Linked DNA regions of Macaca mulatta. The protein of the gene in region 2 interacts with the protein of the main gene of each other region in a pairwise test. Links are inferred from orthologs where the notes say so. Each region holds a gene or a part of one and is shown on either strand. Other genes may lie near its edges. The genes, in order: LMNB2 and TMPO.

Region 1 (4,330 bases), on a different chromosome or scaffold from region 2:
TCATGGCTCACTGCAACCTTGACCTCTCTTGCTCAAGCAATCCTGCCACCTTAGCCTCCCAAATACCTAGGACTAAAGGCGCCCAGCTAATTTTTTTTTTTTTTTTTTTTTTTAAGATGGAGTCTCACTCTGTTGCCAGGCTGGAGTGCAGTGGTGCAATCTCGGCTCCCTGCAACCTCCGCCTCCCAGGTTCAAGCAATTCTCCTGCCTCAGCTTCCCGAGTAGCTGAGACTACAGGCGTGTGCCACCATGCCTGGCTAATTTTTGTATTTTTAGTAGAGACAGGGTTTCACCATATTGGTCAGGCTGGTCTCGAACTCCTGACCTCGTGATCTGCCCGGCTTGGCCTCCTAAAGTGCTGGGATACAGGTGTGAGCCACTGCACCTGGCTGTTTTTTTTTTATTTTTATTTTTAGAAATGGGGTCTTGCTATGTTGCCCAGGCTAGTCTCAAACTCCTGGGCTCAAACGATCCTCCCACCTCGGCCTCCCAAAGTGCTGGCATTACAGGCGTGAGCAAACCACTATACCTGGCCTGGCTTTTATTTTATTTATTATTTCTCCTTTCTTCAGCCTTTTCTGCTTATAATGTAGAGTGCCCATTCTCTCTGCTCAGCTCGTTTGAGTGCCTATTTCACAGATTGAATGCTGTCCCATTCATGAATTGCTAATAAGAGCCAATGAGATCATTAAACTCAATTTGTTGAAATTCATGCTCCTTGATAGCCTTCTGGACATTTTATATCAGTAGTATTGTACACTATATGGCTTTTTTTTTTGCTTTTTTATTTTTATTTTGAGACAGTTTCCCATTGTTGCCCAGGCTGGAGTGCAGTGCCACGATCTTGGCTCACTGCAACCTCCACCTCCCAAGTTCAAGCGATTCTCCTGCCTCAGCCTCCCCAGTAGCTAGGATTACAGGCATGCGCCTCCATAGTAGAGATGGTGGGGCCTCCCTATGTGGCCCAGGCTGTTCTCGAACTCCTGACCTCAAGTGATCCACCGGCCTTGGCCTCCCAAAGTGCTGGGATTACAGGCGTGAGCCACCACGCCCGGCCCTATAGGGCCTTTTGTGTCTGGTTCTTTGAGCACGTTTTGAGGTTCTCTAAGTGTGGAAACAGGCACTAAAAAGAAACAATGCTGTTTCCTCGTGGCGGAGCTGGGAGTTTGCAGCCAGGCGGTCTGTCTCTGGAGTCAGCGCCTCTGCGAAGCGGGAGCTGGACAGAGACTTCAACTTCCGGCGTGCCCCGCGCGCGCCTGGTGGCCGGACTACCAGTCCCAGGCTGCCCCGCGGCGGCGGGCGGCGGGCGCGGCGCGGCGCGGCGCCATCTTGCAGCCGGCGGCGCGGATTGAATGAGCCCGCCGAGCCCGGGCCGCCGTCGCGAGCAGCGCAGGCCGCGAGCCGCCGCCACCATGGCCACGCCGCTGCCCGGCCGCGCGGGCGGACCAGCCACGCCGCTGTCGCCCACGCGCCTGTCGCGGCTGCAGGAGAAGGAGGAGCTGCGCGAGCTCAACGACCGCCTGGCTCACTACATCGACCGCGTCCGCGCGCTGGAGCTGGAGAACGACCGGCTCCTGCTCAAGATCTCAGAGAAGGAGGAGGTGACCACGCGCGAGGTGGGCGCCGGGGCTTAGGGGTCGGGCGGGGGTGCAGCCGGCAGGCCCCGCCCACCGCGGGGCGCGCGATCTCGGGGACCCGGGGCGGGGGTGCAGACGGGGACGGGCCCCGGCTTCGGAGGTTTCCGCGGGTTTTCGGGGGGCCCCTGAGTGAGGGGTGCAGCTCGGCCAGGCCCCTCCCACCTCGGGGTGTGCGATCGCTGGGACCCTGGGTGCAGACAGGAACGGGCCCGGCTCTCGGGGGTGTCCGGGGGGTTTCGAGGGGCCCCAGAGTGAGCGGTCCAGTTCGTCCAGGCCCCGCCCACCGCGGGGTGCGTGATCGCGGGGACCCTGGGCGGGGGTGCAGACGGGGACAGGCTCTGGCTCAGGGGTCTCCAGGAGGTTTGGGGGCTCCTGAGTGAGGGGTGCTGCTCGGCTAGGCCCAGCCCACCGCGGGGCTCCCAATCGCGGGGAACCCTGAGCTGGGATGCGGACGGGGACAGTCCGGCCTCGGGGATCTCCGACGCGTTTCGGAGAGTGCCTCCTGAGCGAAGGGTGCTACTCGGCCAGGCCCCGCCCACCGCGGGGCGCGCGATCGCGGGGACTCTGAACTACTCCCGGCTCGGGGTCTCCAGGGGGTTTGGGGGGCTCCTGAATGAAGGGTGCAGGCCCTGCCCACCGCGGGGTGCGCCATCGCGGGGACCCTGGGGAGGGGTGCAGACCGGGACAGGTCCCTGCTTGGGGGTCTCCAGGGGGTTTCGAGGGGTCCTTAAGTGAGGGGTGCAGCTCGGCCAGGCCCAGCCCACCGCGGGGTACACGATCACGGAGGACCCTGAGCAGGAGTGGGGACGACCCGGCCTCGGGGATCTCCAGGAGGAGACCCTGAGTGAGGGGTGCCGCCTGGGCAGAGCCTGCTCACCGCAGTTTCCTAGATCTTGGGGGACCCCATGGGAGGGGTGCAGATGGGAATGGCCCATTCTCTCAGGGGCCCCCAGGAGTTTCCAGGGCATTGAGGGAGAAGTGCAGACCAGGAATGCCCCACCTATGGAGGGGGTCCCAGGAGATCTTCGGTGTCCTGAGTGAAGGCTGCAGAGGCGCCTCCAGCTAGCTCCGGGGACCCTTCTGTGAGAGGTGTGTTCTGGGGCCATGAGGGTTGCAGACTAGGGCTCCCCACCAAAGAGAGGTCCTGGGGATTTGGGGGCTCCCTGAGTATTGGGCTGCAGCCCACCATGTGCCTCATCCCTCAGAGGATTCCAAGGAGACTTGGTGGACCCCCGCCAACTGAGGGGGTGTGAGTGGGAGTCTCTGGGGATGAAGCTGGGTGTTGGGGCATCTGGGGGGGAATGGGGGTGGTCTCTGGGCTCTGAAGAGACTGGGGGGCCCAGGCCCTCTGAGGAGGCCCATGATGGGGTGTGTGGGGGGGTCTTCCTGGAGTCTCTGGGGTGAGTCACGTGGTCTCAGTTCTCCCTGGAGCTTTAGTGAGTTCCCTGATGAATCCAGGAGAGATTGGTGACTGGGGTGGGAATTAGGCCCCTCATCTCTCACCCGGGCGGGGGGTGGGGGATAGGGGGCCAAGGGAGAGGTTCTGATACCTTGGAGTCCCATGGGAAATTTCGCAGGCCCTTATCTGTGCCCTGGGGTCATTGGTGGCCTGGCAGGTTCTGTCCCCAAGGGAATATGAAGGAAGCGGGAGAGCTGGGGTCTTGGGTCCAGAGGAAAGTGTTGAGGTTCTGAATGGACCCCGAGGCTTCAGTGCGGACTGAAGGAGAAAGGGCTGGAAAGTCTGCCCGTCAAGGGGGCGTGAGGTCGGGGTGTCTTGGGGTCTGGGTGCCATCTGTCCTGCTCCCCAACCTAACCCTGGGGAGGCTGTTTGTCCCTCCCGCTGGCCATGCCCAATTCAAGGACAGGACTCCAGAACGGTGGGCAGGCAGGAGCACCCACTTGATTCCTGCCATGGGTTGGGGGTCCTGGGGTCCCCAGGTCCCAGCATCCTGTTGGGAGAGCCAGGTGCTGAAGTCGGGATTTGCAGCTCCCAGCCCCCACTCGCCCATCTGGAGATCAGAGGACCTGGTGGGCTTCTGGGAGAAAAGCTGCTTGTTGAGGGGGTCAGGTCGTTTCTGGGAGCCACTTACCCTCTGTGTGACCTTGGGCTAGTCCCTTACCCTCTCTGAGTCTCAGTGCCCTCGCCTTTGGAATGGGCATAATTATAATACTCAGCTCTTGTGTGTGGGGCCACAGCAGGTTAGCTTTTGTTTAGTGGCTCCCTGTGGGTTCTGCTGTCACAGTGCCCTGGGGACAGGGAACCTGAAAGAATGTAGCTGGTGCCTTCAGGGAGGTAGAAGGAAGATCAGTGCTTGGTGGGGTCCCCTGCTGTTTTTTTTTTTCCTTTTTTTTTTTTTGAGTTGGAGTCTCGCTCTGTCGTCCAGGCTGGAGTGCAGTGGTGTGATCTTAGCTCCCTGCACCTCTGCCTCCCGGGTTCAAGCAATTCTCCTGTCCCCGCCTCCTGAGTAGCTGGGATTACAGGTGTGCGCCACCACGCCTGGCTCATTTTTGTACTTTTAGTAGAGACAGGGTTTGGCCATGTTGGCCAGGCTGATCTCAAACTCCTGGCCTCAGGTGGTCCACCTGCCTCGACCTCCCAAAGTACTGGGATTACAGGTGTGAGCCGCCGTGCCCGGCCAGTCCCCTGCTTTTCAATTAGTGTGGCTTTGGGCAGGCCCTGGCGTCTCTTGGAG
Region 2 (4,345 bases):
GGACATAAACTCTCTTTTACCAAGTGACTGATAGGAAACATTAAAACTGAGACGGTTGTTTCTGTGTAAAAGAAATCATCCTCAAAACAAATAGGAACCAAGGCTGAGGCAGGATTGCTCGAGGCCAAGAGTTCTAGACCAGCCTGGACAACACAGAAAGCCTGTGTAAAAACAAACAAAACAAAACAAAAACAAAGAAAAAAAGATAAAAAAACTAGCCGGGCATAGTGGCGTATGCCCCATTGCCCTTGCTACTCAGGGAAGCTGAGGCAGGAGGCTCTCATGAGCCAAGGAGCTTGAGGCTGCAGTAAGCTATGATCACACTCCTGCACTCTGGTGTGGGTGACAGAGCGAGATCCTGCCTAAAAATAATAACCAGTAATTATATTATAAACATACAACCAAAAACTTCACGGTTTAATACATTTGCACAGAGGACCGATAAAGGGTTCTATAGAACAACTAGGTTTTTTAATAAAGTGTGCGGATTTGAATATTTCATTTTCAAACAACTGTTTTTTTTTTTTTTTTGAGACGGAGTCTCGCTCTGTCCCCCAGGCTGGACTGCGATGGCGTGATCTCGGTTCACTGCAACCTCCGCCTCCCGGGTTCAAGCGATTCTCCTGCCTCGGCCCCTGCCACCAGGCCCGGCTAATTTTTGTATTTTTTTTTCTTTAGTAGTTTCACCATGTGGGCCAGACTGGTCTAGAACTCCTGACCTCGGGTGATCCACCCGCCTGTACCTCCCAAAGTGCTGGGATTACAGGAGTGAGCCTCCGCGCCCGGCCTCAACCAACGTCTACTGAAAGAGTTTAAATACTACCTTCTTTTTCAGAACAGGGGAACATAATGGGTAAAAGGGCACACTTTACTTCAAAAGTAAATTTGTTTATTAATAAATTAAAGTAGCTTTCCACAAAACAAGACGTTGAAACAATAAGGTGTGATAGGTCTTTTATTTATTGTACAATTATTTTGCACTACTATGTGTCACACACCGGACTTAAGACGTTTGTTAAGACGTTCAACTTCTCTAAAACTTAGGATAAGATTTTCAATTAAATTTACCTGTGTCTATTACATTTGTCTTTCATTTTTGCCTGAGTAGCTGGGAAAACACATTAGACAGGTTCCTTAAAAACTAAAGTAAACTTTGAAGGAAGGAGTAATTTCGGTTTACACTAGTGATAACTCGCAACAACCCCAAACACCACATTCACTGTCTCTTACAAGGCATTTTATGTTACACCAATTACTAGTTTTAGCTTCATCCTACTACGACTTGAAGCCTGGTAACTCGGCAGGCATAAGCAAACACACAAAAAGCATATTAAAATCCACAGGAAAAAAAGCAAACTATTCTCAAACAAAACATGCTTTGCTGGAGCCGATTTGAGATTTAACCAGGATCAGACATTCCAAATTGCAATACTGTTGCACCAGAATGTCATGCAATAAATTTTTCCTGAATCCTCTTTCCTTTCCTCAAGCAAAATTTACCAGTAAGGGAGAAAAACGCAATCCAAACTGTGAGTAATTTTCAAATATTTGTTTATAGGGCCGGGTCCGGTGGCTCACGCCTGTTATCCCAGAACTTGGGAGGCCGAGGTGAGTGGACCACCTGAGGTCAGGAGTTCGAGACCGGCCTAACCAACATGGAGAAACCCGGTTTCTACTAAAATACAAAAATTACCCGGGCGTGGCGACGCATGCCGGTAATCCTAGCTACTCGGGAGGCTGAGGCAGGAGAATCGCTTGAACCCGGGAGGCGGAAGTGGCAGTGAGCCGACATCACGCCATTGCACGCCAGCCTGGGCAACAGGAGCGAAACTCCATCTCAAAAATAAATAAATAAATATTTAAAAATTATAATAGGCGCTTTAAAATGTAGTTTAAACTGTTCCTTTCAATTCTGCGTGAAGCCGTCCCGCCAAAAGATGTCCTGTTGGTGGGAAAAATTAAACTAGAAAACATAAACGGTTCAAAAAGCCCTCCATACGCAAAAGTATAAAAAGGCGGGAATTTCCTTAATTCAAATTTTGGTTAGAAATTAGTGTGTCATCAGTTGCCCTCCAGGGAGCGCTGTGAGACTCTGCTGCGAGTCATTTCAGTTAATAAAGCGGGAAAACGCTCGAACTTAACCTATAGCATTTTGGGGCCACCCCTCCAGAGCTTTCGAAAGGCCACGGAAGTCCCCGTCTAAACGCCCGCTGCCGGCAGCTGGTGGTCCAGGGAAGCCGCGTCGCCCGCGTGCAAAACAACCGCCACCAACGCAACTCCACACCTCCCAGACACACACGTCAAAGAACGCGAATCCCGGTGCCCCAACTTCTGGCCTCTCCGCTCCAGCGCCTGCAGCCCCGCGGGGAAGGGGCAACGCGAGGGGGCGCAGGGACAGCCCCGCACCTGGGAGGCCCAAGGGGGCGCCCGGGAGGGAGGGGCTGCAAACGGCGGCGAGCGCGCGCGGCAACCGCCAAACGCCCGCCTTTGTGGCCCCGGCCCCGCGTCCTTACCCTGCCGACGGCTGCTCGGCTCCGGCCCGCGGCGGCGGCCACAGAGCCGAGAATCGGCGTGGGCTCGCGTTCCTCGTCACTGGAGAAGTCCGGGGGCCCCTTGCTGTTGGCGCCGGCGGCGAGCGGCGGCCGGTTGCGCGCCGTGAGGTGCTGCAGGTAGAGCTGGACGTACACGTCTTTGCGCTGCTCCCCAGCCGGCAGCGTCACATTGTTGGCGACCAACTCACTCTTCAACTTGTCCTTCGTCAGGACCGAGGGGTCTTCCAGGAAGTCCGGCATCTCGGGGATCTGCGAAGCCCCCTCCCCGCAGCCTTCGCTGCCGCCGCTCACGCCGGCGCGCTCGCTCCTGGCCGGGGGCCGCGCTGCCGCCTCCGAGCCTCACGGCTCCTGCCCAGTAGGAGCGCTGCGGAGCGGAGCAAAAACTCGCGGACACAAAGCCAAGCCAGACCCGGACACAAAAGACCCCAGAGCCGAACTACGGACGAAGTGCAGCCAAGCTGGAAGCCCGCACCAACCCCAGCCTACACACTACAGGCAGGAGGCGAGCAGCTTGCTTCGCCCACGCCCCAAGAACGCGCGGCGCCATTGGCGGGCGACGGGAGGAAGCGCGGCGGTGATTGGCGGGACGGCCCGCGCGGGTTCCATTAGCCGCCGCGCTGAGCGAGAGGAGGTAGAAACGCAGTTTAAAAGGCGCTGGGGCGGGAGCCGAGGCGCCCGGCCCGCTTCTGTTTTCATTTTCTCCACCCTTCCCCTTAGACGCCGATAAGGGACAGGTCGTACTGCTTTTGTGCGCCGTTTCCTCTCCCTCCCCCAGCTTGAGAAGCAGCTTTCGTCTCTGGGGTCGATCGCCTACGAACCGGCCGAATTCCACGCCGGCTGTGAGGACCCTTGTCTGGGCCTTTCTTCCTCCCGGGACACTGAAGCACCGAAGAGTAGCCGCAGCCTTGCCTTCCCCAAACGCTAGCCATGAAGGGGAAGAAAAGAAGCGAGACTTGTCTGCAGGCACTCATATTCCTTGATTTGATTTACTTTGGGAGGGGGAGGGCAGGGAGTTACCCCTCTGTCTACTCGCGAACGCTTCTTTTGTTCCAGAAACCCGGGAGAAGCCAGACCTCTACCATCGGGCACTTTACCCTTGAATTTGTGACAAAAGTGTACTATACCGTTCACTTCTTAGTCTCGTAGTTGGGGCATGTCTAAATTGTTTAATTTGAACAGTGCGTTGAGACTCAAGACAAATTCGCGCTTGCATTTTTGTTGAAACCGATCCTGGCTTTGGATCCCACTAACGTTTGATAACAAAACGAAGCCGAACCCTTGGGAACCCCCTCAATGGTCAATTTAAAATAGCAGATGTTGCGTAATCCTAAAGGAAGCCTAGTGACCTATAATTAGGCCGAGAACCCTAATCAAACCCGTATTACTAATCCAAATTAAAACCTGGTAGTGACTGCAATTAAAATGTTTGCCTGAAAATTAGTATCACTGATGACAAATATTTGTATTTCTGATGAATATGTATGATTAAAGATTCTAGAAAAGAAAGGAGACCTTGGATCAAGAATGTGTTAATAATTTCCCCAGAATCTGAGCTCCAAACTATATTTTAGAAACTGATTACATTTTTTTTGGTTTGCCTGCTTTCTACACTGTTAGGTTAGAATATATTTAAAACAAACGCTTTCACTAAAAATGTTTCCTATGATTTAAGCGACTTACTTTTGTTCAAATTGAGGAGATACTTCTTTTAGTGATATTTTCCTAGAGGTAACTAGTTTATAAAAATCTCAGTATCCATATATAAGCAATGGTATTAAGCTCAATAATGCAAA

What was found.
Region 1: the proteins of TMPO (region 2) and LMNB2 interact in a two-hybrid assay, tested with the Homo sapiens proteins (2 studies listed by BioGRID, with this or other methods). The link is inferred for Macaca mulatta from reciprocal best matches to the Homo sapiens genes TMPO and LMNB2.

The regions. Positions count from the first base shown.
Region 1 is NC_133424.1:3,196,981-3,201,310, reverse strand, and holds the start of LMNB2 (lamin-B2), read left to right. Parts: upstream 1-1,238; 5' UTR 1,239-1,352; coding exon 1,353-1,616; intron 1,617-4,330. UniProt on the Homo sapiens protein: Lamins are intermediate filament proteins that assemble into a filamentous meshwork, and which constitute the major components of the nuclear lamina, a fibrous layer on the nucleoplasmic side of the inner nuclear membrane.
Region 2 is NC_133416.1:105,806,495-105,810,839, reverse strand, and holds the start of TMPO (thymopoietin), read right to left. Parts: upstream 3,071-4,345; 5' UTR 2,793-3,070; coding exon 2,514-2,792; intron 1-2,513. UniProt on the Homo sapiens protein: May help direct the assembly of the nuclear lamina and thereby help maintain the structural organization of the nuclear envelope. Possible receptor for attachment of lamin filaments to the inner nuclear membrane.